4 linked regions of the Lepisosteus oculatus genome follow. The protein of the gene in region 4 interacts with the protein of the main gene of each other region in a biochemical or structural test. Links are inferred from orthologs where the notes say so. Each region holds a gene or a part of one and is shown on either strand. Other genes may lie near its edges.

The links.
Region 1: the proteins of arf6a (region 4) and cyth2 form a complex in vitro, tested with the Homo sapiens proteins (3 studies listed by BioGRID and IntAct, with this or other methods). The link is inferred for Lepisosteus oculatus from reciprocal best matches to the Homo sapiens genes ARF6 and CYTH2.
Region 2: the proteins of arf6a (region 4) and cytohesin-1 form a complex in vitro, tested with the Homo sapiens proteins (2 studies listed by BioGRID and IntAct, with this or other methods). The link is inferred for Lepisosteus oculatus from reciprocal best matches to the Homo sapiens genes ARF6 and CYTH1.
Region 3: the proteins of arf6a (region 4) and 5-hydroxytryptamine receptor 2A form a complex in vitro, tested with the Homo sapiens proteins (2 studies listed by BioGRID). The link is inferred for Lepisosteus oculatus from reciprocal best matches to the Homo sapiens genes ARF6 and HTR2A.

Annotation. Positions count from the first base shown.
Region 1 is NC_090718.1:355,905-364,127, forward strand, and holds the start of cyth2 (cytohesin-2), read right to left. Parts: upstream 3,040-8,223; 5' UTR 2,902-3,039; coding exon 2,841-2,901; intron 1-2,840. Other genes in the region: kcnj14 (ATP-sensitive inward rectifier potassium channel 14), read right to left, coding at 4,896-5,108, 5,352-5,669, 6,278-7,078. UniProt on the Homo sapiens protein: Acts as a guanine-nucleotide exchange factor (GEF). Promotes guanine-nucleotide exchange on ARF1, ARF3 and ARF6. Activates ARF factors through replacement of GDP with GTP.
Region 2 is NC_090704.1:41,341,947-41,349,480, forward strand, and holds the start of cytohesin-1, read left to right. Parts: upstream 1-4,457; 5' UTR 4,458-4,700; coding exon 4,701-4,776; intron 4,777-7,534. UniProt on the Homo sapiens protein: Promotes guanine-nucleotide exchange on ARF1, ARF5 and ARF6. Promotes the activation of ARF factors through replacement of GDP with GTP.
Region 3 is NC_090710.1:30,783,356-30,791,290, reverse strand, and holds the start of 5-hydroxytryptamine receptor 2A, read right to left. Parts: upstream 3,235-7,935; 5' UTR 2,899-3,234; intron 1-2,898. UniProt on the Homo sapiens protein: G-protein coupled receptor for 5-hydroxytryptamine (serotonin).
Region 4 is NC_090703.1:10,289,522-10,296,931, forward strand, and holds the start of arf6a (ADP-ribosylation factor 6a), read right to left. Parts: upstream 3,228-7,410; 5' UTR 2,782-3,227; intron 2,595-2,781; 5' UTR 1,540-2,594; coding exon 1,012-1,539; 3' UTR 1-1,011. UniProt on the Homo sapiens protein: GTP-binding protein involved in protein trafficking that regulates endocytic recycling and cytoskeleton remodeling. GTP-bound form plays an important role in the transport of multiple palmitoylated proteins form the Golgi to the plasma membrane.

The sequences.
Region 1 (8,223 bases), on a different chromosome or scaffold from region 4:
TGACCCTGACTGACTGGACACTACAGCACAGAGACACTGACTGACTGACTGGACACTACAGCACAGTGACCCTGACTGACTGGACACTACAGCACAGAGACACTGACTGACTGACTGGACACTACAGCACAGTGACCCTGACTGACTGGACACTACAGCACAGTGACCCTGACTGACTGACTGGACACTACAGCACAGTGACCCTGACTGACCGACTGGACACTACAGCACAGTGACCCTGACTGACCGACTGGACACTACAGCACAGAGACACTGACTGACCGACTGGACACTACAGCACAGTGACCCTGACTGACCGACTGGACACTACAGCACAGTGACCCTGACTGACTGACTGGACACTACAGCACAGTGACCCTGACTGACTGGACACTACAGCACAGAGACACTGACTGACTGACTGGACACTACAGCACAGAAACACTGACTAACTGACTGGACACTACAGCACAGTGACCCTGACTGACTGGACACTACAACACAGAGACACTGACTGACTGACTGGACACTACAGCACAGTGACCCTGACTGACTGACTGGACACTACAGCACAGTGACCCTGACTGACTGACTGGACACTACAGCACAGAGACACTGACTGACTGACTGACTGACTGACTGGACACTACAGCACAGTGACCCTGACTGACTGACTGGACACTACAGCACAGTGACCCTGACTGACTGACTGGACACTACAGCACAGAGACACTGACTGACTGACTGGACACTACAGCACAGAGACACTGACTGACTGACTGACTGACTGGACACTATAGCACAGTGACCCTGACTGACTGACTGGACACTACAGCACAGTGACCCTGACTGACTGACTGGACACTACAGCACAGAGACACTGACTGACTGACTGACTGACTGGACACTACAGCACAGTGACCCTGACTGACTGACTGGACACTACAGCACAGTGACCCTGACTGACTGACTGGACACTACAGCACAGAGACACTGACTGACTGACTGACTGACTGGACACTATAGCACAGTGACCCTGACTGACTGACTGGACACTACAGCACAGTGACCCTGACTGACTGACTGGACACTACAGCACAGTGACCCTGACTGACTGACTGGACACTACAGCACAGTGACCCTGACTGACTGGACACTACAGCACAGAGACACTGACTGACTGACTGGACACTACAGCACAGAAACACTGACTAACTGACTGGACACTACAGCACAGTGACCCTGACTGACTGGACACTACAACACAGAGACACTGACTGACTGACTGGACACTACAGCACAGTGACCCTGACTGACTGACTGGACACTACAGCACAGTGACCCTGACTGACTGACTGGACACTACAGCACAGTGACCCTGACTGACTGACTGGACACTACAGCACAGAGACACTGACTGACTGACTGACTGACTGACTGACTGACTGGACACTACAGCACAGTGACCCTGACTGACTGACTGGACACTACAGCACAGTGACCCTGACTGACTGACTGGACACTACAGCACAGAGACACTGACTGACTGACTGGACACTACAGCACAGAGACACTGACTGACTGACTGACTGACTGGACACTATAGCACAGTGACCCTGACTGACTGACTGGACACTACAGCACAGTGACCCTGACTGACTGACTGGACACTACAGCACAGTGACCCTGACTGACTGGACACTACAGCACAGAGACACTGACTGACTGACTGGACACTACAGCACAGTGACCCTGACTGACTGGACACTACAGCACAGAGACACTGACTGACTGACTGGACACTACAGCACAGTGACCCTGACTGACTGGACACTACAGCACAGTGACCCTGACTGACCGACTGGACACTACAGCACAGAGACACTGACTGACCGACTGGACACTACAGCACAGTGACCCTGACTGACCGACTGGACACTACAGCACAGTGACCCTGACTGACTGACTGGACACTACAGCACAGTGACCCTGACTGACTGACTGGACACTACAGCACAGTGACCCTGACTGACTGGACACTACAGCACAGAGACACTGACTGACTGGACACTACAGCACAGTGACCCTGACTGACTGACTGACTGGACACTATAGCACAGTGACCCTGACTGACTGACTGACTGGACACTACAGCACAGTGACCCTGACTGACTGACTGGACACTACAGCACAGAGACACTGACTGACTGACTGGACACTACAGCACAGTGACCCTGACTGACTGACTGGACACTACAGCACAGAGACACTGACTGACTGACTGGACACTACAGCACAGAGACACTGACTGACTGGACACTACAGCACAGTGACCCTGACTGACTGACTGGACACTACAGCACAGAGACACTGACTGACTGGACACTACAGCACAGAGACACTGACTGACTGGACACTACAGTCAGTCACTGCAGACTCACACCTCTCTCACTCCTGACTCTTGTCTCCAGGGCATCAGAGTGACATTCCTCACATGTGCAACATTCCCAGTATTCCTCAGGACCGGAAAGACCAGACAGACACGGTATCGATGATGATGATGATGTCTCCCTCCCTCACAGACACAAATTTCAAATAGACAGGACAGCGGGACATATAGACATACACTTGCAGACACCCAAAGACACTCAGAGGGGCAGAGATACACTCGCAGACACGCAAAGACACACAGACCAGATCTCCCAGTCGTATCCACCGTGTTTGCTTATATAACCCAGCAGCCCAGAGACGACCCGAGAGGGTTGTGTCGGTCCTGCCTCTGCTGTGACCGATGGTAGCCTGCTTGTGCTCAGAGCCAGCAGGCCGGACTGGTCACTTACTGAAGTCCATCTCGTCCATGATCAGCGGCTCCTGCAGATACCCCACGGGCTCGAATCTCATCCACAGGCCGGACTGGCTGCTCCCGACGGGAAACCGCTGCTCTCACAGAAAAACCAACACCATCGACACGCAGCACAACAGCAGCTCCGTCGCCTCAGACAAAGGAAGACGGAAGAGGAGTCCCGCGTTCCGTCTCGGAATGGCGAGGGGCGGCGGCCATCTTGGGAAGGGACATTCCCGAGTTTCCTCCTTTTCCCATTGGAGAGCAGGAAACTGCCGCCATGTCGGCTCCGCAGGGAGTGGAGGCGTCTTTCCTAGAAACCACCACACGATGGCGGCGTTGCTTTGTAATTCAACCCGATTGAATTAATTCCATTTCCATTCAGTTCTATTCAAGATGCTTTTTTATTGGCATGACCAATGAATAAATCGGTGTTGCCAAAGCAATACAAATAAAATTAACAAAAAAATCTACAGGCACTTACAGATATTTTACAAAACAGACACATCTAAATACAGTTAATGCAAACTAAATCATTAAATATCTAAAAATTAAATAATTGAACAATGTCACCATCGAGTGGGACACTCGAGAAATTACAGTTCAGGAAGAAGGAGGTCGTCTCCAAACTGCAAGACGCCATGTAATAATAAACACAGCAGTCTACCTGCTCAGAGGACAGGGCTCAGTCCAGTCCAGTCCAGCTCAGGGCACAGGGCTCAGTCCAGTCCAGTTCTGCTCAGGGGACGGGGTTCAGTCCAGTCCAGTCCAGTCCAGTCCAGTCCAGCTCAGGGCACAGGGCTCAGTCCAGTCCAATCCAGTCCAGCTTGGGGGACAGGGCTCAGTCCAGTCCAGTCCAGTCCAGCTTGGGGGACAGGGCTCAGTCCAGTCCAGTCCTGCTCAGAGGACAGAGCCAGTCCAGTCCAGTCCTGCTCAGAGGACAGGGCTCAGTCCAGTCCAGTCCTCCTCAGAGGACAGGGCCAGTCCAGTCCAGTCCTGCTGAGAGGACAGGGCTCAGTCCAGTCCAGTCCTGCTCAGAGGACAGGGCTCAGTCCAGTCCAGTCCAGTCCTGCTCAGAGGACAGGGCTCAGTCCAGTCCAGTCCAGTCCTGCTCAGGGGACAGGGCTCAGTCCAGTCCAGTCCAGTCCTGCTCAGGGGACAGGGCTCAGTCCAGTCCAGTCCTGCTCAGAGGACAGGGCTCAGTCCAGTCCAGTCCTCCTCAGACGACAGGGCCAGTCCAGTCCAGTCCTGCTGAGAGGACAGTGCTCAGTCCAGTCCAGTCCTGCTCAGAGGACAGAGCTCAGTCCAGTCCAGTCCAGTCCAGCTCAGGGGACAGGGCTCAGTCCAGTCCAGTCCTGCTCAGTGGGTTAGGGGTCAGGGGAAGGAATGTGTTAGTAAGAAGAGAGGAGAATACAGAGTGTTGAGAACTGGAGTTTTATTTGGATTTGACATCTGAGTAGCGATTGTGCTGCCCAGAGTCTCCACAAGGGGGCGCCTCTCCCTGGCTCCTCCAGCAGGTCAGTGCAGCTCGGGTTCGATCGCCAAGTCCAATAAGCTGAGTGCTGGTGTCTCCTGTCTCCGGTCTCCCGTCTCCCGTCTCCTCCCCGCACTGCTGCCCCTCTCCCCTCTCTCTCCCTCTCCCCTCTCTCTCCCTCTCCCTCTCCCTCCTCTCTGCCCTCTCCCCTCTCTGCCCTCTGCCCTCTGCCCTCTCTGCCCTCTCCCCTCTGCCCTCTCTCCCCTCTCTCCCCTCTCTCCCCTCTCTGCCCTCTCCCCTCTCTGCCCTCTGCCCTCTGCCCTCTCTCCCCTCTCCCCTCTCTCCCCTCTCCCCTCTCTGCCCTCTCTCCCCTCTCTGCCCTCTCTCCCCTCTCTGCCCTCTCCCCTCTCCGCCCTCTCCCCTCTCTCCCCTCTCCCCTCTCTCCCCTCTCCCCTCTCCCCTCTCCCCTCTCCCCTCTCCCCTCTCCCCTCTCTGCCCTCTCTCTCCTCTCCCCTCTCTGCCCTCTCTGCCCTCTCTGCCCTCTCCCCTCTCCCCTCTCTGCCCTCTCTCTCCTCTCCCTCAGTGGTCCCGGGCAGTGCGGGGGGCAGTATCGGGGGAGGTCTCGGTGGTGGAGCCCTGCTCCAGAGCCCCATGGCTCAGCAGCGCCACCTCATTCTCGTAGCAGAAGGAGGCCCTGGTGCTCAGAATGAACTTCCTCTCAGCCAGCTCCTTGGCGCTGCAGTTGGGCGTACTGGGAATCTCATAGGTGCGATGGAAATAAGAGTAGTCCACCTGCGAGAGAGAGGACTGGACATTGACCACCTGGACACTACAGCACAGAGACACTAACTGACTGACTGGACACTACAGCACAGTGACCCTGACTGACTGGACACTACAGCATAGAGACACTGACTGACTGACTGGACACTACAGCACAGTGACCCTGACTGACTGACTGGACACTACAGCACTGTAACCTTGACTAACTGACTGGACACTACAGCACTACAGGGCAGTAGCTCTCTCTCATACCTGGTAGCAGCTCTTCTTCTCGAAGAGCACGGGTTCGAATCGATGTCCCCAGAGGATCTCCGAGGCCAGGTAGGAGCTGCGGCACTGAGTGGTCATCGCAGTGGCCTCCACCATGCCCTCCAGGATGACCACGATCTCCAGCTCGGTGTCGTCCTGCAGCGCACGGCGGTCCATCTCGTACAGCGGACTGTCCTCGTCGATCTCGTGCACAATGGTGACCGGCGACACCAGGAAGATGCGGTCAGTGCCGTTGTCAAAGCCCACATTGATGTCCACATGGTCCAGGGGCAGGTACTCCCCCTCTGGGGTCACCCGAGGCTAATGAGAGACGAGGACATGGATTAATACTGACCCTCTGACTGACTGGACACTACAGCACAGTGACCCTGACTGACTGACTGGACACTACAGCACAGTGACACTGACTGACTGGACACTACAGCACAGAGACACTGACTGGCTGACTGGACACTACAGCACAGAGACCCTGACTGACTGGACACTACAGCACAGAGACACTGACTGACTGACTGGACACTACAGCACATTGACCCTGACTGACTGACTGGACACTACAGCACAGAGACACTGACTGACTGACTGGACACTACAGCACAGAGACACTGACTGACTGGACACTACAGTAGACTTGATTGTGAAGTAGACACTCACAGGAAATAGTTATTGAGAGTGATGGGGTTATGATTTACTTTTCAAAGCCACTAAATTAATCCTCCATAAACCTCAGAAATCCTGAGAAAACAACAAAAGCTGATTACAGGGAACAGCCTGCAGTCCAGATGTCACAGCCTGGCTGAGTGACGCTCTCCTGTCTCTCTCCCCCTGTCTCTCTCTCTCCCCATCTCTCCCTGTCTCTCTCCCCGTCTCTCCCCGTCTCTCTCATAATGGCGCCCCCTGCCTCTCACCCTGAGCAGCTGCGCGCGGACGTGCGCCTCCACCAGGTGGCTCTTGCGCAGGTTGCCGACGCGCCACATGAGGCAGAGCTGGGCATCGCGCAGCGCCACCACCGCGCAGTCGGAGAACACCAGCGTCTCGTTGCGCTTCTTGGGCTTGGCGATCTTGGCCATGACCGCCCCGATGATGAAGGCGTCGATGATGCAGCCAACGATGCACTGCAGCACGACGGCCAGCACCGCCAGGGGGCAGGCCTCCGTCACGCTGCGGAAGCCGTAGCCGATGGAGGTCTGCGTCTCCAGGGAGAACAGGAAGGCCGCCATGAAGCTGTTGACCTGCAGGAAGCAGGGCTCGGGCGGGGTGGCGGCGGGGGCCGGGGGCGCCGGGGGGGCCAGGTCACCATGCGCCGAGGCGATCAGCCAGAAGGAGAAGCCGAACAGCAGCCAGGACAGCAGGAAGGACAGCGAGAAGACCACGAACATCCAGCGCCAGCGGATGTCCACGCAGGTGGTGAAGAGGTCGGTCAGGTAGCGCTGGCCGCGCTCGCTCATGTTGACGAAGGTCACGTTGCAGCGGCCGTCCTTGCCCACGAAGCGGCTGCGCGGGCGGCGGCGGCGGCCCGCCCCCGGCCCCGCCCCCGGCCCCGCCGCCCCGCCCCCGGGAGGCGGGGCCTTGCCATTGCGGGCCGGGGGGCTGGTGGGCGTGCCGCCGCCCGGCTCCGCCGCGCTCTGCGCCAGCCTCATCACCTCCTCCTCCTCCAGGGGCCCGTCCACCACCGCGCTGAAGCGCCGCTTGACCCGCGCGGCCCCCATGCCCGGCCCCGGGGTCGAGCTTCTCTCACGACTTCCCTCTGTTACCCCGCGCAGATCGATCACAGCGCAGCGCACACCGCTCGCCCCCCTGCCCCGCCCGACGCACGAGCCCTCGGAGTCTCCTCAGCAGTACCACTCGTGTCCAGACGAGGGCGCTACAGCGGGTGGAGAATCTCCCAGAGTTCCCCCCCGAGAGCCGCGCTGTCTCGCACCCCCCCGGGCCAGAGGGCTGTACCGATCGCCCCGATCGATCTGGTTACAGCTCGGCCCCGATTGATCCCGACCTCACCCCGCCTGGCAGAGCAGGACAGACAGACCCGAGAAGAACCACCCGAGAAGAACCGGAACCGCTGCTTTTAAACTGGGGTTCGAGTTTGAGAAGGGGTCCCCTGGGTCCAGGCTGTACACCCCGAGTGTCTCCAGGCTCTTCAGGAATCTCCCCTGGGAATCCTGGGAACGTGTCCTCTGGAGGAGACCTGCGCTCTGCACAGGGTGGGGCACGGGTTCCCAGGAGCTCCTCCTCCTCGGCAAGAAGCCCCCAGCGCTGTCCCGGGAATACCGGGAACCGCTCCTGGGGCGGATCAGACTTGATCCGTAAGAATGAGTCCCACGATGCTCAACGATTCTTCTAGAGCTTCGCTCCCTTGGCGGATTTCGGGGGGGCAGTGCAGTGACCCCCAGGAGTCACCCCCCGAGCTCAGCCGCGCCCCGGAACGCAGGCAGCCCTTGACCCTCGACCTCTGACCTCCAGCTGGTGGGCAATGACAAGAGACAGAGAACTGGACTCCTCCCCCGGTGGGAAGTTCTCGGATCCCAGGAATGGCTCAGCGCCGGAGGGACGGGCGGATGTTTTTCATGGATCTGCCCAAACCCGCGGTACAGCCCAGGAAAGCAGCAGACGCAGATCCTCCGGGATTTCCGGATCCCTCGGCTCCTTCCGGAATTCCTCTCCTCCGGGGATCGTTCAGATGCCAATCGGCGTTCCCGAGTCGCTCAAGTGTCCGCGCGTCCAGGCAGGCGCCCCAAAGAGTCATCGGGTGTCCCCCTCTTCCCGGCGTTCCACACAGCCTCGGGGCCGGTCCCTCCCTGCGTGTCGGGATCGGACACGCCCCCACGCAAGATCCCTCCTCTCCGCACTCCGCTGG
Region 2 (7,534 bases), on a different chromosome or scaffold from region 4:
CTGAGCTCAGGCAGGCCTGTCTTTCACACCAGAGCTGATTCTCACAGAGTTGCTCTTCCCGTTTCGTTATGTCAGTGCACTGAGGTGCAGGGGTGGCCTCAGCAGAGCAGGGAGGACGTTTAACATTGGAGGGGGGCTGAAGGGGGCTTTCTCATGTTGGGGAGGGCAAAATCATCATGGGGATGATTGGGAACGAATGAGGGCAGCTATGAGCTGGACACCAGAAATCTCAACCCTGGACCTTGGGTGTCCCAGTCTGCCAGAGTCTATAGGTAAAAGGCCCGGACCAATTAAACTGGTGGTGTGTTCAATTCAGTCATTTTTTAGATCAGCTGGAACTTAAGTTAGGATATCCTTCACACTTAAAGGACGAGTTTTCCCTTCATTGAAACATGACTTGCTTGGTTGATCAGTGTTCCTCATCTTTATTTAACAGGGTGATTGAGCGTGAAGTGTCGCAGTAACTGGCCTGGGGATCTCCAGAGTTGGAGACCCCGGTATACATAAAAATGCATTATGATAAGAGCAGGAAAAACCCTGGCACATTGAAAATGTTGGAAAATCCAAAAACGGACTGGAAAGCAGCTGCTTGTCAGGGAATTGAGGAAAGGGAAAGAATTCAGACCTACAAATCGAAACAAGGAGGTCTACATTGAAATTGGCCTTCATGTGCGAAGGCGTGCATGCCTGAGCGTTAATGAAGGGCGAATTCCTGTTACCATACAGGTTAGAATGAGGTGCATGTTTCATAGGTGGTCTAGGAGCTACCCAAGGAGAACTGTGGGGTTTCCTGGCAGTCTACAGCAACTGTAACCTCAGCTCTTCAGCATGCCTCTAGCTCCAGCAAGACCCCTGCCTCCCCCTGGGGCTGTGGATCACCTACAGAGGCTCCCTGGCCTCTGAATTGTAGCTTTTACAAATAGTGTAGTGCACCACAACACACTGGTCTGTTTTTCCAATGCATCACCTCTTTCAGCTTTTGCTTAAGTCACAATTTCCATATGTATATTTTTTAGCTGGGCTCTTTAATTTCAGAGTGCCAGGGAAGAATAACAGCCTTAGGGAGGGAGAGAAAGTGAACAGGCACTGTTTTTCCTCTGTGGGTGCTGGGGCTTTGGTTTTCTTTGAATTTGGAAGAAATCTTCTGTCTGCATCAGTATCTTTTATTTTTTAATTTTAGAATATTTTCTTTTTCCATCCCCCGAGGTCGAATCTCTTCCCTGCAGGCACATGTAAAATTAAAAAAAGTGTGAATTACCTGACGTCCTGGCATCAGGCTCCCAGAAGCTGTTTTTTTCTCTTTATTACTTATTTTTGTAGGGGGTGAATGGGGGGGGCTGGTTTTCTGTTTGTTGTTCTCAATGGTTGGCAAATCTTTAGCATTCTTTGGAAACTTTTTTTTTAATGGTGTTAAAAACTGAAAGAGGCCACATATTAGTCTTTATCGTTTGTACAGTGAGAGCCTCGAGTTCTCTCAGCAATGGAAAGACCTGATAAGCCTCTCTCTCAGGATGTATACACATAGTACGTGGGTGTCCGTGTGTGAGCCGTGTGTGTGTGAGCCATGTGTGAGTGAGCCGTGTGTGAGTGAGCCGTGTGTGTGTGAGCCGTGTGTGTGTGAGCCGTGTGTGTGTGAGCCGTGTGTGTGTGAGCCGTGTGTGAGTGAGCCGTGTGTGAGTGAGCCGTGTGTGAGTGAGCCGTGTGTGAGTGAGCCGTGTGTGAGTGAGCCGTGTGTGTGTGTGTGTGTGTGGAGGGGCTCCATACGTGTCATAGATGTCTGCACGTGTGTGTGCGTGCCTATGAATCACTTCATTCTTTACAGAAATGGCAAATTCTCATACAGGAACCTTTATAATTTATGTAACACTGTTGCCATGCAACAGCGTGGACTTGATGCAGTACATAAAGACTTAATAAGGCAAAAGCGCGGGTAGGGCTGTGCATTGCCAAACGGAGAGAAAGAAGGCTTGGAAAAGACGATGGCAGCGCAGTAAATCCGGGGTGGGAAGGAGGGATAGGCATCTTGCGGAAATAACGAGGGCGTGACAGAGCTGTAGGCTCTGGGCCGTGTCACTGGGGGAGCAGGAACGAGGCCAACATGGAGACAGCGAGCTCGGTTGACCGGGCAGAGGGAAACTGCGTTTGACCCAAGCTGTCGTATCATTTTAAACTGTGCTTGCTGCCTTTGCCCTCTTCTGTTACGCGCTGGCCTCTGGCTGGGTAACCGTGCCACCCTCACCGCAGCGGTTGTGGAGTGGATCCGTTTTAACGGCTGCAAGTTCTCCTCTGAAGGCGGGGTGGGGGTAATCGGCATTTGGAAGGAAGGAAGTGGGAAGAATGGAAAAACGGGGAGATAAAGGGGAAAGACAGAGCAGGCTGTGGAGAGCAAAGGTTTTTCTCAAGTCAGCATTCGCTTTAATTCAACAGAATCGGTTGCAGCATGGGATCTTACATGGGTAAAATGCCCCCCAGCATACCACAGTGCATCGTTCTTAGGCAGGGATCTCCGATCTTGGTCCTTGAAAGCCTTCTTGTGCACAGATTTCTTTGCAACCATCATTTGACAACACCAATCAGCTCACGATTAGCTTAATGGGACCAATTTAGCAACAACCCTAGCTTTTTTAGCTACTAGTGCTTTAATTGCCCCCTAGAAAACTTTCAGACACAGCAGTCCTCCGAGACCAGGATTGTACAGCCTGAGGGGCAAGCAGGGAAAGTGACCAACCTCACTGCAGGTGCTTGCTGAGCTGGGAATAACTGTGGAAGAGCCGGAGAGCAGGAATGGGGAGCGGACTGGAGTTACAGACATTTTGGAGTGATTAGGAAGTTTGTAAGGGATAAGACTAAAAGGTTCTGCCTTGGCAAAACTGGGAATCCATTAGATATGGTCTGACAAAGTGTGTCCGTTTTGCAGTGCATTATCGGTGACCCATTATCTTCATGGGATTCAAGCTCCCAATAATAATAACCAGAGGAGAACTGGACATGATGAGTGAGGATTAGAGGTCACCAGATTTTGATCACTAATGATAATAATATAGTCTTCAATTTCATCAGACCTGCGGCTCGGTGAATCTTATAGTAATGTTGAGCCTGTGCTACAGTGTTCAGTTCAGAAGCTGTGTTATAGAATACTCTGTACACAGTAGCTAAGCAAGTAAGCTTCAGATAGAGAAAGCTGACTGCAAAGGGAGAGCTAGAGATGGGTTTGGGCAATTCCAGCGCTGCACGGTGTGTTAGGTATCCCTTTCGTTGGAACACCTCAGGAATGAACGACATTCAATCATAAAATCTTCGGTTGTGCTTAATGGGGGGGACAGTCTTTCCTGAGTGCACTGTCAGGAGAATGAAGTGTTTTGCGCGCTCATGGGCGTGCTGCAGTCGGTGGTGTAAACCTGAGTGGGCAGCAGGAGAACAGGCTGAGACGCTGAAGGTACACTTAAGGCTGCGATGAAAAGCTCTCTTCAGAAAGGGGTGGACGTCTTTGGAAAGGCTGCAGCACGTTGCTCGTGTAAGCAGGGTGAGGGGCTGATTTTACAGCAGATGAAAGCAAGTGTTTTGAGAGGTCACGAGTGTGGGCTGTTTTGGGACTGGCTCAAGTAATGGCCTCAATAGAACAGAATTCCCCACCTCCCCCCAGACAACACAGAGGAAAACTGCACTGTGAGATGCATGAACATGAACAATGTTCTGGGCTCGGGGTTCCAGACCCAGGGGGTCGTGGGTTCGAATCCCAGGTGAGACACCGCTGTTGTACCCTTGAGCGCTGTGCTTCAGTCGGATCCCTCCAGTAAAACACCCGGCTGCATGAATGAGCTCTCCCCAGCCCGTCATTGTAAGTAAGACTGTGTTCTCAAGCAGCGACGCAGCAAGTTAAATAAAGGATTAACAAAATGCCAAGAAAAAAGGATTCTGAATCGATTCTGTTACAGGGTTGAGTAGCTCTGGGGCTTCTGCAGACTTAGCAGAAAAAAAATGTAAATATTGTATTTTGAAAAGATGTTCTTCTGAATGGAAAATGCAGTAGCTGGAGGCCACATTGTGAGATGCGACTGGCAATGGTCCCCCTCTATTGCTGCTTCCCAATGCCTGTGTGGGCACGCGTGTGTTTGAGTGGGTGTATGAATGCGAGGGTCAGTGTGTCTGTGAGGATGCATGTATATATGTGTATGCATATGCTGTGCTGTGGCTGAACCCACTTTCCCAACTCTGTCACGCTTTGATACAGCAGCAGTCTTGACAGAGTAACAGCTCACAGCGCTGAGGTGTTGCTGAGGGGTTTGCATCTTGCAAACCCATGTTTATATACCGAGTCTGGGGAGGGTGCGTGTGTATGTGTGTAATCTGTTAGGTCTCTAAGAATATCTCACAGTTACTGTGCAAACCAATGAGAGAGAGAGAGGCAGGCACAGAGAGAGAGAGGGGAAGACGGAGCTGAGAGTAGTGCTGTCAGAGCAGAGAGAGCGAGAGTACAGCAGAGGAGAGGTGGAATTATTTGGGGAGCGGATTAAGGGATTCGTGAAGCAGCCGCAGTAGCAGGCGAACTCTGCGAAATTAATAAATGGACTGGAAGTCCTCAGGGCTGGGGATCTTCAGCAGGCAGGCGGTCTCGGGAAGTTCCCCTGTTTTTAAAAAACAAATCTGAGTCTGAACAGAAAACGGGCATCTGAAAAGGGTCTTGCTTTGGGGCTGGAGCCATGGGGACGGTGAGCGAACTATGTGCCTCCAGTTTCCAAGCTTTCCTCTGTCCGAGCATCCACGCACCCCAGCCAGGTGAGTACCGGCTCCCGAGACGGACCCTCCGGAGACTGGAAAACGTGTGATTTGCTTGCACGCCTCGTAGTTTTTCTGGCGCCTGTGTTGCGTTGTAATAGGCAGTTGTGAAGAAGATCCACAGTTAGGTCTCTGGCTCTGCCTCGCTTGCAGAAAACTGAAGTGAGCTGTTGTTTCAAAGAGTTCAAGGAGGTCTGTGGAAAGTTTTTATTTGTGACTGGCTTGTTGGGAAACCTTTTTAGTGATTTAAAGACTCACAGGTTATCTTCCCACAAGGCAGCAGCTGGGAACAAGCTGACATTATTCTTGCTTTAGATCAGAAAGTTTCTCATGATCGGTCTTCCAGATACCACGGAGTCATTTGCTTGACCCTCTCTGGTGTTTTATCTGTGAATCTGGATCTGTTACAGTGTGTGCTGTCGGTGCTTCTCTGAGGTGGAAAGATTGTACTTTCAGGTGGCAAAGAGTTTCCATATGGTGTGCTGCGTGAGGTCACTGCCGAGTGTTTCTCATGCAGACCTTCTCCGAGGCTCTCCAGAGGTTCTACATGCATTTGTGCTGCCTGGTTTTAGTTTTAATATGCGATATCCTCTTCTGAAGAGCTTGGTTCTGCTTTCACAGCGTTGCTCAGAATCGGTGGAAGTCAGTGGGCAGCCTCAGGCGTTGTCTGCTCGCAGGCTTAGTTGCGTTTACCCGACTGCCAGAAAAATCCAGCAAGTTGGTTATGCTGGTTTGGTTTAGTTCTCTTTCATTCACCTGTTGCTGAGCTGGTGACTGGTCTGTGATGGTCATGATGATTTATTATCTGTTATTGCATTTGTCTTGCATTCCCTGCTTAAAATCAGCAGGGGTTTAAAGGGTACTTAATTTGAAATGGCATCATTGTGTGTTTCTGTGGCTGATGTTTTTTGGTTTGGAGTGCATTTTAAGAAAGAGTCCCAGGTCTCTCTCTCTCTCCTCAACCCCTGTCCCTCCTGTAGCTCAGATGACCTGACAAATCAGGAATTCTGCCTTTCACAATTGACACGGAACGAGTATCTCAAAACAGGTCGTTATCGCCACGTTCCATCAGCCAGGCAAATCACCAGGAAGACATGGTGCTGGGAATAGAGAAGGTCTGATTCCAACACCCATTAGCCAGGAACTGCTGTGTGCCCATCCTCAGTGTCTTCTGGAGGTGTTGGTTTGACCATAGTGCTATCAATTTTGAAAAGAGACACTGAAGCGGTCTTTGTAGGGCTGATTGCTGTTCTGTGTTCATTAAGAATATGTACTGAATCTGAATGAAAAAATTTGTAGTTGCACAATGACGGGTTGCACTCGCAAGACACTTTTCCTGTCATTAATGTGGAACACGATAGCTGTGTTCTGTTTTTCTGCTGCGTCAGGTGTTGAGAAATCTGAGTTCTATGCCACCCTGCAAATTGAGGTTGTTTCAACACTGAAGACGCGCTCAATAGCAGCCAGACCCAGCCAGACAAGACCAGAGGGAGTTTCCCAGAATGCTGTGGGAGAGTTTAGTGCCCACTCTGTGTAGTTCCAGCCCCTTTGCTCCTCCTAAGCACCACCTGTCTTATAGCGCTTTCATTCTGAATGTGCAGATGATCTGGTGTTGCTGCACCCTTAAATCATAGTAATCAAGAAAAACCATCCCTAATCTAGTGGAGAAAAAAAGCTTGCACGTTTGTTACATTGCCTAGCAAATGGAACATTCAGGGGTTTGCAAAATGAAATGCTGAGCTTAATGTAAAAAGATTTGCAAGTGATGTTTTTCCAGTTAAGATACAGTCAACCGCAGTTCGTCGTCAGTTTTTGAGCAGACTCTCTGTAGCACAGCAGAAAAATCAGGCTGGAGGTTCTAGTGACGCAGAAGAGAGACTTTGTCGCTGACGTGTGTCTACGGCCAGCAGCTTTTGGAGTGTTTTAGCGTGAGTGCAGTTTGAGGAGCGGGGTGCTAGGTGGCAAGGGTGGGCCTGAGTGCCACAGTGGAGGAGGACGGGCTTTGATGTTCAGAGCCGTTATATAACTGCAGCTTTCGCCATGAATAATGGAGGGACTCCGGAGAGAGGGAGCCCTGGCCTCTGAGTGCTTTGACAAGGAGCTGCGTGACAACGGCGGGCGAAGTGGTGCTGGTTCCCAGCTTCGCTCCAGAGAAACTGTAACTCCTTCCTTCCCTGGGCTGAGCCGGGGACAGCGAGGGAACCTCAGCCGTGCTCCTAACCTCTGGGTTGGAAGCCCCAAGCCGTTAAAGGAAATTCCAGGTGTGAAGAAGCGCGACAGCCAAAACATTGGGGTTTTTCCTTCTTTTCAGCGAGCAAACAACCTTTACTTGTTGCTTTGTGGACTAGATTAGACCTGTTGGTACAGTAAAGGTCTGACATGAGCATGTGCCTTTTCCTTAGTGCTTCTCTGTGTGAAATTTGCCCCCAGTGGATTCTGCAGGGCAGGTTCCTGTATGGCCTTGGCTTCGCCCTACAAACACCTCACAATGACATTGCTTCACTGCACTTTGCCTTCACGCTGTCTTCTGTCTCCTGCTTTTACCGCGCCCTCTCTGTCCTTCATTTTCACACCCTATTCAGCTTTCACAAAACGATATCAACGTCCGCCATCACAGAAGGTTCATAAAATTAAATAAAGGGATTCATTGCATTTATATAGCTCTTTTCTGGAGACTCCACTCAAAGCGTTTCACAGTTAATGAGGACTGCCCTTAAAGGCCAATGGGAAATTTGGGCAGGACACCCTTAACACCCTT
Region 3 (7,935 bases), on a different chromosome or scaffold from region 4:
CACGTACAAGAAGTGGACTTTTATAAGTACCTTGAAAAGACAAATCAGGTGAATTCCCTGCACTAAAAACATCAAAAAGGCAAACCAAATTGGCAGCCTACTGTATCTTTCTTAAGTTCAAAAATACATTCCAGCACTTTACAAGAGAATCAGTGTACCTGTAAATGAACTGCATCTGTCTTGGAACATAAAATAGAAAACATGCATTTGACTGTTTACTAATTATTTTAATTCCATTATTAAGAACATAATGTAATTCTGTATCCTTTTGGTTTGCTGGTGTTTGGCGAAGAATTATACAAAGCACTGCCATCACTTCAGTGAAATCTCTGATTGTTTCTATAAAACTTCTGTGTTTCACCATCATGGCCCCCGCTCCACAGATCTGTACAAATGCCTATGCATACTTTACAATTGATATCAATAACCTTTATAAATGTACCTACATACTACAGGTGTTGTAAAACTTAATTTCTATGCACAAAAGCATCTTCTTAATGAAGGTCTCAAAAGAGTATTGAACAAATCCTAAAACATGGCTTTTTCCAACTGCCTGTAGATTTGCAGATTTACATTTAAATTGATTAAATCTGCAGATTAAATTGCTCATTTAAATTTTCGCAGTTGGAAGTGTTTTTATATTATGAGCTATATCTTCAAGTCTTGTATGCACACCGCTGTCAGATTCGTTTTCAAGATGCCTCTTATCAGTCGGGACCCTTAGACAACGCCAGAAAGTAAAAGTTGCTTTCCGGTCCTATGGACTGCTGATACAGACCCCATGACTGATTATTCAGCTCCGTGTTTTTTTTTTTTTCAGAAAGAAACCCATTAGCTTATGACCTTGGTAGGGACGCCTGGCATTCAAAGTGTACTGCAATTTTGACTGTTCCGTCGATTTATTTGCTAGTACTTTTACAGTTTCGCCACAAAATACATTTTTAATCATTTTCGGTCTTGTGCTGTTCTACAATTACTGCATGGGTATACCATTAACAGCAGTCAGGAGTCATTTAGAGCATCGTGCGCAGCCTGTGTATTTCCCCCAGGCGCCTCTGGCGGGACACAGTGAGTCAGCTGTCACACGTTCACACTTTGACAATGCCTTCCACCCCAGCACCACTTCTTTGCATAAAGAACTGCCTCTTTTTCCAAGCCTGTACACTACTGCACCTGCTTTTTTATGTACAGAATTTGAAGAAACAGTTCTTATGAGATTGTCTATTCATTTTCTAGCTACACATGCCACCTAGAACACACACTCATCCTGTACAGAACTAAAGCACGTGATGCACAAAGAGCTTTTGTATCACTGGAGTTAAATGCTGTCTTTTTACACGTGTGTTTGATGAGTGTTTTTGAAGCTGTGGGCTAGCTGAGCACTTCAAGTACCTCTGCTATGCTCTTTGCAATTGTACCCAATTTTAATGACCATATGAAGATAAATTAAAATACCAGTGCCTATACAGATAAAGAAGAAATACATGGCTTTTGATAACCCTTTGATTTGGAAACAGCTGCCTATAAAACTGGTTAATCTAATCTAGTAAATCAGTACAAATGAATAAAAAAAAAACCCAAAGCAATGAAACAGCTGTATGCCTCAATGTGTCACTGTAAAAGGGCAATTTACACATGTCTGCTTCCTCACATGTAATAAGTAGTGCATATTTGTCATAATATTAATTAATTTTAATGTGTGGGATATAATGGATGAAATATATGAAATATATATATATGATATATGTCACCACTGATGTGCCTACTATTCTTTTAACACACTGAGCAAACTGGAGTGTCTCTTGAGCATCAACGTCAATGCTCTGAGCGATGGGAGGGTGTGTTCAATGTGCTAATCTTTGGCATATCCAAAAATATCTAAAAAAAACATTGCGGGAAAGTGTGATTCACTTGTGACCTACTTTTCATTTCATTTCCAACGGTATGACAACATTCTTCTACATTACATACTGTTGCTAGGAACTAGATTTTTACATTAAATGAATGCAGTACAACACATCTATTGTGTATTGTATTACTTTGCAGGGGTACACTTCCTCCCTAACACATTTCGACCAAATGACCAAACAACATACCACCAATGCACAATGTATTCATAGGAATAATTACTGACATGAGGAATAATCATGCATGAAGCTAAACTGAAAATAAAAAGACACATGGCAAATCTGACAATCAGGATAATATTTCTGAGTAACTCCTAGAGGAAATATTATATATTAACAGTTTAGTTGATGAGAGCTTAGGCTGCTGGTCACATGCAGTACTATATACAGTACAGTAGTCGATTTTTGCACAGTAAAAAGCATCAAGACACACAGTAAATGGTCAGTAAGCATATTGGCAAAATACTCTCATATTGTACTGAATTATCACAATCCGATTATAGTAGTTGATTAAGCAGTAAAACTAGAGGGTGACATCAAAATGTTTTCCATATTTACCTGTATAAGCAAACATCTCACCAACGGTGAAATAATTAATGGAAAATGAAAACACTAAAACAGTAACACTGATTTTAATTTCTCAACACATCATATCAAATCAGTTCGAGTGAACTGGCAATTAAAAAACAGAGGATTAATAATGGAAAACTAATAAAATAGCAACATGACCACACGTAGTTATGTATTTACTGTGGGTCACATTTGCATTCACAGCTGAGAATATAATAATGCATATGTTATTGAAACTTTTAAACAGACAAAAGCATGCATTGCTTATGTAATACTGTAGGCACATCCAGTTTATTATTATTAAGTCTAATGTGATTTGGAAATTTTTAGAAAGTCGGCTCAATACAGTTGTCTGACTTCAAATCCAAACAATTCATTAATAGGGGGCCAACATACTGTCTGTTTTAAGGGTAAAACTAACCTGTCTCACGACGGTCTTATCCCAGCTCACGTTCCCCATCAGTGGGTGAACAATCCCACGCTTGGTGAATTCTGCTTCACAATGATAGGAAGAGCCGACATCGAAGGATCAAAAAGCGAGTTTGTGCATTAATGATTGCTTAACGACTACAGTGTCGCATTGAACGTTTTGCCGTCTTCACTCGATTGATTCGTCTCGTTGAGGAAACGTGAATCACAATAACGAACATTCGTGTATGGCGAGCGAATAGTTTGCGTATCGTACACCTGTTTTTACCAGAATTATCTAAGTATAGTTAAGTGAAACTTATTTCGTCTAGAAAATGTCATGCCGGAGACCCTCAAGGCTACCGTTCGGCCGCACGCGTGGTTAGTCCAGGCGGAAGCGAGGTCAGACCGAGATCTTACCTAATGCCCAAGTTGCGAATGCATGACACTTTTTGTCTTGGTTCAGTCTAGCTGTATTTTTTTTTAATCAAATCCTTTTAACTCTTTTGAACAAGTATAATGTAATGCAACGCCAGTGGAATGACTGTAATACAAGTCACTATTTTCAAACCCGGCTGTGATATTATATTTATTTAGAATACATGTTACTGCTGATATGAACAACAGCTAAAATAAACTGTACCATAGGATATTATCTGGGAAATACTGATATAGCATATGATTTTTCCTATTTGTACTGTATACTCAAAAGCATTGTTTTCAATACTTATGTATAATATATAATATAAATATAATGTAGCCTTTTACCACTGAGATGATACATTTATTAAACTAGAGGGTTTGAGATAATAGCTTTTATTCTCCTTTAAAAAAAAATCACACATATTAAACAAATTCAAGAACTTACTGTATGCACAAGCCCAAGCCTCACTGTAATTTGAAGGCAAACCTACAATTGCTTTAATGAAATAAAAAAAAAACATCAACATACAGTACCTGGCGACAGTTCAGTGAAATGGTTAAATTGACTTCTGAAGAGATTTAGTTTATTAATAATACTTAATGAAACCAAACCAAAGCAGAAACCAGACCAACTGACTAACTGCTACATTATTAATATGTTATACAGTATGTGTGTGCATACAACATATTATATATATTGTATTAATCACTTTTATTCTTTTGTTTAAGGTCTTTTATTTTTTGCTCCTCTATATGTCAGCTTATCTGACGAACAGTGAAATTACCTTTCGCTGATTCTATATAGCAATGTGTTTTTATCTCTGCAGTATAAAGTGTGTCTGTGTGCAAACGCATCAATATCTGACACAGTGGCCATTATGTACTTGATAATGGTCCAGGCCTTTACTGAGCTGTTCTCATTGTTTTCATTATCCAAGAAAAAAACCTTGGCTGTGGAGAAAGAATAATTCAGACAAAGGGCGTCCCCACACTGCCTCCGCTATCTAACTCAGAGGATGAACCAAATAATGAGCTTTAATTCCTATAAAATAGAACATTTTCTACAGAGGTGTACTAACCACTGGTATAGTCAATCAAATCTGTGGAGTTATTCTGCATAGTTACACAGATATGTCACCCCATCAGAGCACACTGATTCTGTTTAAGGTGGTATTTCCATGCAGGGTGCAGGAACAGATAAGCAGGGCGATTCCTGGGTAGTGTGGAAATGTGTCCGTGTTAATGCTTTCTCGCCTCTGGAAAAAGAGTCCATTTCCATCTGCCATGATGTCCCCTCAAATTTTTTGTAACATCTCTGGAGGTTTATATAGTAGAAGCCTGGTTCACGGCTTAAATTAAAGCTAATGTAGAGATGTGTACCGCTCCCGGCTTCCAGAAACTTCAAGCACATGCAGTATTCCACCTGTGTAAGATGTACCGCTGCAAAGATATTTAATTTATAGTGAAATGGAGTTTTGGGGGAATATTCCCTTGCTGTTTTTCTATTTAAGAAGCAATACAAGTTTACTTAGGATGGGTAATAGGTTATAATCAATGGGCAATAGGTAGAAATGAGCACATTTAAGTAAAAAATATGATAAACAGATTTCAAAACGATAATATTAAAAAACTATTCTCGAGGTTGCAAGAGAAAATAAGAGTCTCCGTCTGGCAGCATCAATCACTGAAGAGAGCCTGAAGGATCACTGAAGTCTTCGTTTTTCGTTTTATTGTTATTGTTAAGTTATTGCTCAGTTTAACATTTCTTGTGCATCAGCTCCATGTCATATCTTTTGCAGGCTGTCATCCCATATTAACATCTAATTATCATGATCTTAATTCATTACATTATAATTACAGGCCTGATTGCCATTTCTAGGCTGTCAAGCATGGAAGCAGGCCTCTGACAGGAAAATATTTGTCTAGAATAGAAAAAAGATGGAAATCTGCAATTAGGACAAGGGTCTCATGAATCTGATCTGAAGCAAACAGTTTACCCCATTGTATGAGCAAGAGCAGAAATTAAAATGATATCAGTTTACACTCATCCTGAAAAAGCTCCAACATTATTTGATTCCACCGCGCTTGGGAAACATTTTCTTCAGCTAAATCTTCTGCCCTGTACAGTAGGTGCTCCTTATTTAGCACACTGGAGTGCAAAAATAGTTTCGATCAGGGAGATTTCACTATTATGAGATTTTAGGAAAAACTCCAGCATCCATTGTAAACCACTGCGAAATTCTTTCCATTTAAAAATTATATGAATTCCAGGGACCCTTACAACCATAAATGGAGATGTACAGCAATAATACAATTTTAGGCACAACACCATACAGTACTAGAAATGAACTGGACAGTAAAGATATTGTACATAGTAAAACTGATGTGCTATTTTTGATAATGAGAAGCTAAAAATATAAGAAGAAAATATAAGAGGAGTTTCCTTTAAGATGTGAAAAATGTTAACCAAGAGAAAAGCTTAAGTAAACATCTCAGTTATGTGTTTTCTTCCAATGATCTATTGTCTCAGAAACTGACTTCCACATGAATACAACTTTAGGACCTCTCTTTCTACACTTGTCTTCTTTTGATACCCTTAGATGTAGCACAGGGCAAATGAAAAGCGCCGTAACCGTAGTAAAAAAGCAACACAAAAAACACCTACAATATTTCACCTGTGATTCATATGATTTGTATGTATCACCTTAGTGCTCCTGTCACGATTATAGTCCCCCCTCCTTAAGGGTGCTCCAGCCCTTTCACGTGAGACTTTATTCTATGCACCTGCTCCCTATTCCCAGCCCACCTTAAAAGCCAGGCGCTGACGCTCATCCGGGCTCTGCATCTGATTTCCATATCGTGCGAGTCCGGGACCTGGAAGCGCCTGGTCCCGTTCCCTGTCCGCCGGTTCTGACCCGGACTTCGTGGTTTTAACTTCGTGTTTTGATGGATCTCGTGGTTTTGGACTTTCTCGTGTGTTTTTGGATATTCCCTAAGGACTTCTCTTTTGGATTGTTCGCCTCGGCCACACCTCCCCCGTGCACCAGCGCACCTTGGACACGCCCCCCTGTCTTCTGCCCCGTATTCCTGCATGACGTTTCCCCAGTGTTTCCCCACTCCGTCGGACTGTGTCGTCCGCATAGGGTCCGGAAAGAACTGTTCGTTACAGCTCCTTTACCAGCCACAGAATAAATTAATGATTTTGAAGGACTGGGCAAAGCAATACCCTTTTTTCTTACAGTATCGGCACCTAGACACTCCTGCAAGTAGGCTTCACTGTTTGCAAGTCTGTCACGACGGACTGCGTGGGCGTAGGCTGGCTACTGGGGAGCACAAACTTGTTGTGAAAAATTATGTGCTCAAGTGCTGACAAAGTGACTCACAGCTCAGGTTCAACAACTGGAAGCTTGTCTTATTGAAGACTAATAAAATCTTCATGCACGGGGCCGTTTCTCTAATACAGAGCAGCGCTGCAGAGTGACTTGAGTCTTCCCACAATGCTGCTCCCAGTCAGATGGCATGACAGAAACAATGTGAAAATGCCGATACTTCCCTTTCCCTCCAAGTCATGTGGCTGTTGAACTCTGGTTCTCTCAACAACAGTCAAGAAGGCAAATGCTGACATTTATTCCAAGAATGGAAGGGAAGCTTTTTTGTGTTGATTCCTAAAGTGTTGTCTTCCTAAAGAGACAAAGTGTGTTTGGTTAGATCACAAGCACACATCTTATTTCATTTAAACACCTTATCAACATCACTCATCCCTTTGAAGTACTGTATCAAACTCTTAATTTTAGTGAAGAAACAGCTTCTCGTTTCTGAAAAGATTACATTCCTCTATGACCCTAAGCAACAATTTCAAATCATGCACCACTTCTGAACATGATAAAAGTGCCTAGTCTGCTGTCTATTATACAGCACTGCTATCGTCTTGCTGTCTGATCGTGTTTGATCTCAGAAGCTAAACAAGGCTGGGCCTTGTCAATACTGGGAAAACCAGGTTGCTACTGTACATAGTGCTGGCACTCCAACAGCAGGCAGTCAACCTTCAAACCAGAATTTCTAAACAATCCCATGGCACAGCATATAAAAGAGTAGCTCTAAAAAACATCTTAGATCTCCAGATTCTGATCTGAAAAATAACTAAATCAAACGCTAAACCAAGTTTTGATCATATAAACAACAAATTCAAGGCAGCACCACCTGTATCCAGTTGGCAAGAAGGAGGAGGTGCAGACAGGCTTTTCTGACCTGCGTAGCCAACAACCCATTCATCTTCCCACACATAAGAACCTTTATCTTTAAACTTGCACTCTCTTTCGTTGAAACATTTTGTAGTCCGGTCTTTGAAAAAAACACGTTGGCTTAATTAGACTATACAATGTCACCGAAATGAAATATTGCTTGTAAAGTTTACTTCATCAACCTTTAAGGACCAGAGTTGCTTATCCTTGGCTTAAACGGTTTGATGAAATACATTTTTCCAATAGTTTCAATAGTGTTTTTTTGGAAAGGTCTAAGACAATTAAATTGTTCATTATTCAAATACTTTCCCAATCTTTTTCACATAGTACTAACCCCATGTTCTCGCACGTTTATGTTGAGATCCTTAGAAGCTATTTGCAAGCTT
Region 4 (7,410 bases):
CTCCGCCTGCGCCGGGCCTTCTCGGCGGATGAGTCACTCGCTCGGCCGCCACGCGCCGGAGCGGGGAGCAGCACCGGGATGGCGGAGCGCGCGAGCCCGTCACGGGAACTTCGGCGAAGTCTTCGCGAGGCGCAGCAGTCCGTCACGGAGGGGGGCTTCCGGCCCAACCTAGTTACCCGTGGTAACAACTTCAAGCCTGACTTTTAAAACCCGTGTGCGGCGGGGGGGTCCTTCAAAACAGCATTGCAGGTCACCAATGCTTGGGACGCTCATTTACAAAGGAATACATATATATAGAAGTGTTTTGAGCACTTTGCTGTAGTATACTTGTACCTCGTTCAGCATCTATACCTACAGTAATACTTCACATAGTTGTAACAGAACGGTGCTGCTAAACACCTGGTGGCTCTCTCGGCAATCTTAAATCTGTAAGCTCTGGGCTTAATTCCTTCTCAAAGAAACAGTATAAAATTTAGAGACACGCCGTATTGTTTTTTTTTTCAAACAATTTTTATATATATTTACTATTAGAAACTTCAGGCCTGAACATCGCACACATGTTCGGTATGAATGTAAAAGAAGCAAAGTCTACATCAAGCAGGTTCAGAGAGGCAAAAATGAGAAGTAAAACAGAAAAAAAAAATCCCCGCCCCGCCAAAGGAAATAATACAATAAAACTAAGAAAATTCAAGAGCTTGAGGCAATTCATGTAGTCTGCTTTTTCTTTTAAAAAGTCTCTCACGGGAGTATTTCTTGAGTCACGGTAATCAATAAAGAACGTGATCCAAGGACAGCGCAAAAGCAAAATTAAAGCCAGCCAAATAATTACTTTAAGAAAAAAAATGATTAGTTATACGGGGGTCATATAATAATCAAAAGAAAATGAATTATAATCAAACTTTTTTATTATATTCTTCCGAGAAGCCATGTTATTTGTTAATTGCTTCTTCTCGTGTAAATTTTGTATTATTTTATTTTTTTTGCTTGTTCTAACCAGTCATCATTCGACCATTAAGATTTGTAATTAGAAGTTAGCCAAGTCAGCCCCTCGTACAGTCCGTCACCTGTAGTCGCGCAGGACGGCTGCACATACCAATTCCTATCTCGGATGCGGGTTAAGCCCAGTTTCTCCTGGATCTCATGCGGCTTCATGGCATCAGGCAGGTCTTGCTTATTGGCAAAAATCAAGATAATGGCGTCCCTCATCTCCCGGTCATTAATGATGCGGTGGAGCTCTTGCCTGGCCTCGTCTATGCGGTCTCTGTCCGCACAGTCCACCACGAAGATTAACCCCTGCGTGCCCGTGTAGTAGTGCCTCCACAGGGGGCGAATCTTGTCCTGTCCCCCGACGTCCCACACGTTGAATTTCACGTTCTTGTAGGTCACGGTTTCCACGTTAAAGCCTACGGTGGGGATGGTGGTGACGGACTGCCCCAGTTTCAGTTTGTAAAGTATGGTGGTCTTCCCCGCGGCGTCAAGTCCAAGCATCAATATTCTCATCTCCTTGTTGCCAAATATCTTGGATAGCATCTTCCCCATCGTGTAAACAGCGCATAAATATCCAGTTCCTCTGAGAAATTCAATAAGTCACCTGGACCCCCGTTGTGCACTTGAGACCTAATAAATAAGATGTTCTGATTTTGTATTTCTTTTTACCGAACAGTTCCCGACTTTCAGCCCAAGCAGCCAACTGGTCACGCACTGGTCAATATCCGGTGGGGAGCAAAGGACAGTACATCAGGACAGGCTGAAGTTAGAAACCATTCAATCGCTGGGCTGTAGACGCAGACGGTGTCTCTGCAAAGCGGCAATCCGTCCGTGCGAGATTACTGCTCCCCCAACACTAAAAGCCGGCTGTGCAACTTCTAGACAACATCCGAAAAGAATCCATAACAACAAAGCTGTCCCGTCGGTCGGTCCGTCCCCCCTCCTCCCGGGCTGTCAGATATCCCTTTCAGTCAGTAAAAGGTTTTGCCTTGAACCGAGCCGGGACGCCAAAAGGGAGGCCGAGGTCACAGTTAAAAGACACCGGGAGTGGCGAGGAATCCAGGTGCCGGAAAGAGGTTGACAAAGAGGGTGTGGGGAGGCCGGTTATTTCAAGTCCACATCAAGAGCACACCGGGATCCACTTACGGGTCCGTGTAATGCGGTTCTCCAGTCCCTCGGCTTGCCTTCTTCCTCTCTAAGGCGAGGGCCTACAACACAGACGGGTCCGGCTGGGGGGGGTGGGTGTTGCTCTCCCGGCCCCTCTCTCAACTTCCAGAAGTGAGCTGGCTGAGGATCGGCGCGGCTGCCCGAGCAGGCCTTCGCAGAAGCCTGCGGGAGCTAGTTCACAGACTTCCTCCTGGCGTGCCCGTGTCGAGGTCTCCGCTCGCCCGTTTCTCTCTCTCTCCCCTCCTCCTCCTCCTCCTTCTCCTCCGCCGCCGCCGCCTCCCCTCCTTTCTGAACCGGGTGGGCAGCTCGCAATTTCACCGGCTCCGCGCTTCAGCCTGGTCCGCCCGGGTCCGCCACACTTCTGTCGGAGACGGAAGAGCCTGAGCCGAGGCGACTCCAAAGGTCATTGATTCATTCGAGAGCTTCCTCTTCTCTTCTCCCTGTAACACAAGAGCGGTTGAGAAAAGGGAGGGGTGTCAGGGGAGGGGAAAAAAAACACAACTTTAAGCGCAGCCGCCGCTAGCGTGGTTACGTTTTCCGCTCAATGCTGAACAAAAGCGGCGCCGGCATTTCTGAGACGCGGTTCTCTCAGCCGGTCCCGCCGGTGTCTGGCGTCTTTTTTGTTACCTGCTCTGCGGCCCCCCGATCCCCGGATTGATCCACCCCGCTCTCGCCTCTCTCTCTCTCAGCTCCGAGCGGCTCTCGGCTACCGGAAAAGGTGCGGACCCGATCACCCGCCACTTCCTCTCGCTCGCTTACTTTCAGGCACTTTTTTTTCCCCATTTCCGCCCATTGGCATGCGCAGAGTAGTTACCACGCACCGCCTTTGACGGGGCTCAGAGGCTCAGGAAACTGACGCCATTGGGGCTCCAAACGCGTGCTCGGCGTCCCTCATTGCGGCGCACGGCAGCGGGAGCCAAGATGGCGGCCGCCCGCCAGCGCAGTTTCGGGATGTGTCACCCCCCAACCGGATCTTTCATGTGCAACGATTCTCTTGAATGAAAAAACGCAACGAAGGGGGTTATTGCCTTTGGCGGCAGTAAAGGAGAGGCGCTCGGTGGACGAGGGTGTGAGTCGACAGCCAGCGCTCAAATGTGAAAAAAGAAAGAGGTGGTGCGTTATGACGTAGGCGTCACTCAGTGGGTACTGTGAGGGATTTCAAATAATGCCGCAGACAGGCCACGAGCTGCACGCTTAACTGACAGGGGGCTCGGCTACTCTCGAGGGAGGGCGCTGCCCGTGCGTGCTGACAGGGACACCGCCCCCTCGCTATATTATCACCCCCCGTGTAAAAATAGTTCGTGCGAGAGCGTGGAAGGGAGGTGAAGTCTCTTCCGCCCGGTGTTTGAATCGCGCTTCGGAGGGGGGGTTTGTATGTTATTTTAACTTGGCTCTGGAAACACTTTTAGCTACCGAAAGGGGGGCTTGTCTAAAATAACCCCTTCCTGTCTTCATCCTGATAAAAGTGAGAGCTATTAATTACACGTATGCCTGTGTCGCAATACTGCACCGCTAAAGCTATAATCCTTACCTTGATTATTTTAGGGCCAACTCCACCTAAGCAGCCTTTTTAAGAAAGCCCCAGCTCTGTTCTGTTACCAGCCCATTTTCCGCGCACTCGTTGCAATAGTAGTTTCTAAGACCTGCATTTACAAATGTCTACATTCACGACTTCGCTTTATTTTGCTTGGGTGGTGGGTGAATTAAAACTGCGGATAGATCTACCGAATTGAACGTATACCATGACACACAACTACAGAGTGTAGGGGGGAAAAATACTTCACCGTGTTTCAAGCGTCCTTTTCAAAATGTAATGTTTTCATGTTTGAGTCTACAAACGCCAAACCCCGGAACAACTGTGCTCAGCAATAAATGGTTCTTAAAGTTTCCATAAAAAGGAGTGAAGACAAGCAGTATTACGTTTTAGAATAACGTAATACAGTGTATATACAGTATGTATAACTTAACAGGAAGTCTGAAATGGCCCTAAGGTAATAGTAATATTTAGCGAATTAAGGGCTTCTATACGTTCCATAGTTTCTTGAACATATAAATATAAAGCACCAACTGTTTACGTTTCATAAAAAAACAAGCGTTTCAAATGTGTCTTAAGTTTATGTAGAGGACAGACACCGGCTACGTTTTTTATTAAAAAATGGCTTTAATTTATGAGGAAATGAGGAGACCGAAGAGCTTCGCAGTACTGAGGCGTTTCCACAGACCATCAATGAGTTGAAACGCCTTTACCACACAGCGCTTATTTCCTATTAACCGGCCGCCACACCCTCGTCTTCACATTCAGACACCTTTTGTTTCGCTGGGCGCAATCTGAACCTCTTCCGTTTCACGCTAAACGACAGCACTCGTGTAAAATATCGCGACATAACATAAACGATTGTGGAGATCAATGCAAGCAGTGCTGGGTATGACGAGGGCGAGTCTTTACAGCTTTCCAGCGTTAGACAGTGAAAATGTGGCTGACGTGCGCTATTGTGCGCTTCAGGTCTTTCATGAGCTGCGGAGGCTCGTCCCTGTGCGCGGTCATTCTTTTACGCGTGTGCGATGTTGCAGGAAACCTGTCACATCCTGACACGGATGTCTAGGTGCGAAATAAGCTGCTGACTCCAAACACAAAGCAGGAATGGGACAGAAATGTCATCAGAGCACAATACCACGCAAAGGCAAGTTTCTAACTGCAGAATCATGGATCTGATGGACTGAATTATGGTTTGAGCTTGAGAATGGATTGCAAACCACAATCGGTCCATTTTGCTCATTTGGTAGTTGATCGTTAATTGATCCCAGGATCTCGTCCAGCTGTTTTCGTGAAAGGAGTCAAGGTATTGGCTTCACCAGTGTGGCTTGGTAAAGAAACACCTCCTGTTTTGGGGTTTTAAAGACACTGTTACCTAGTTTCCACCTGCGTCCTCTGGCTGGTATTTCTGTTTACTCCAGGCGGTGAATAAAATAAAGGGCTGTGATGATACCCCACGAACCGCTGATTTTGGTTATCTGAAGGAGTGTCAGGTATTAAATTGCACCGTTTTCTGCTCATACACTTATTTTCGTGTTATCTTCTCTATTCACACCATTCTCCACCCCTCTCCACTTTGCACCTCCTGAGTGGCCTCTCTGCCTCTCCCCTCTCCCTCCTCCTCCACTTTTCCAGCCTGTGTTCTCCTGTGCTTTTTAATCTTTGCCGTCTACCCTGTCTTTCTCACACCCGAAGAAGGCTCCACAGCCGAAACGTTGTGTTTTTCTTCTCTTTCCAGCAGGGAATAAACCCGTTACCTGTTCCTTTGCAGCCTACGCATGCTGACACAGCCCCCTACTCGAACTACTTCAATGTACAGAATATCCAGAACATTTCTCACCAGGCTCTTCTCTCTTGTTTTGTGTTTCCATTGGTCTTCAGCAGTGGATTGTCCCTTGAACGTACCAAAGGTGGACAGAGCGCTGTTTGCCAGGAAGTGCCCCGTCCTCTGTTCCTGAGGAACATTGGCGCTAGCTGTCAATCCTGATGCCTTTCCAGCTTGCTGCTTAATTTCCAGAATCCAATCACTTCCACTCACAGTTTCCAATCCGTGCTGCAGGCCAGCATGACTCAGGCAGTCACTCTGACGTTTAGCTAGACTAGTCTTTCTTTCCACTTTCTTAGACTTTCTTTCCACTGAGATAATTATTTTTAAAAACAAACACAAGGCCTGCCATGCATCTCACACTCGGGCAACAGAAAACACTGAAAGTAAAGGAGAATTGAAACATATTTCTGTTTAATGTCACCAAATTTGAAAGACAAATACAGTGCCATGGAAATTTCTTATTTAGGCCACAGGTGTTTTTGTGTTTTCGATGGACTTCATTATATTGTATTCGGTCTCTGTGTGTGCACGTGCTTTTCCAGGACCAGTTCAGGGAGCAGAATAGAGAAGCACCCGAGCCAGAACATAAGGATCGAGCCCTGGACCCCTGCAGTAGTCAAACCACTGGGGTCACGCGGCTCTCCTCAATCTGTTTGCAGCCTGGTTTCGTTTTTTTTCTCAAACTGCCCACAGAAGGCCTTTGTTTCCCTCACACAAGACAATCAATCGTTTTGCCTCTTGCAAAGACTGCACAGTTGTCCACCACTTTTAAATCTGATATGGCATTAAGTACGTTGAAACAATGTCGTCTAAAGAAGTGGTTCTTTATTCTCAAAATCATTCAATGAAGCTTTCCAGACCTGACATAAATGTGCCATTTTTGCCAAGTGACGTGTGTAACTTCTCTGGGCAATTGGACTGTGATGCGTCTGGCATACATTTCGGAGATATAGCGCCCCCTTGTGGAGTAAAGTGGACATCGCAAGGAATTGTTCATTTCACAAGATAAGAGACCTTGGAAAATCCGAAAGACCCATCAACCTACCTAGTTTCGGACGCTCTGTCTGTGCAGTAGTGAAATACTGTGAATACTAAATAAAGGATTTTTTTACTAAGAATGAATAATCACACAAAAACAAAACGTAGTTTTCCTAAACTGCCATTTATTGCTTAAATATCTGAGCAAATATCTGTAATCAGGCTAAGCACATCAATTACAGTTTCTATATATCGGAACCATTCTGTAAGAGGTAAGCCCCCTTGTGTTTGGGATTACTGCCATCACCTTTCAAGAATTAGATTTAAACCACACATCAATTAACAATATAAGATAATGACTGTCAATGATATGCCAGCAGCCATATCACCCTGCAACTCACAACTGGCAACCCACTGAACCTAAGCAGGTGTGAGCCTGGTCAGTACCTGGAGGGGAGACCTCCTGGGAAAAACTAAGGTTGCTGCTGGAAGAGGTGTTAGTGGGGCCAGCAGGGGGCACTCACCCTGTGGTCCATGTGGGTCCTAATGCCCCAGTATAGTGACGGGGACACTATACTGTAAAACAGGTGCCGTCCTTCAGATGAGACGTAAAACCGAGGTCCTGACTCTCTGTGGTCATTAAAAATCCCAGGGCGTTTCTCGAAAAAAGTAGGGGTGTAACCCCAGCGTCCTGGCCAAATTTCCCATTGGCCCTTACCAATCATGGCTTCCTCATAATCCCCCTCTATGAACTGGCTACATTACTCTGCTCTCCTCCCCACTGATAGCTGATGTGTGGTGAGTGTTCTGGCGCACTATGGCATCCAGGTGGGGCTGCACATTGGTGGTGGTGGAGGGGAGTCCCCATTACCTGTAAAGCGCTTTGAGTGGAGTGTCCAGAAAAGCGCTATATAAG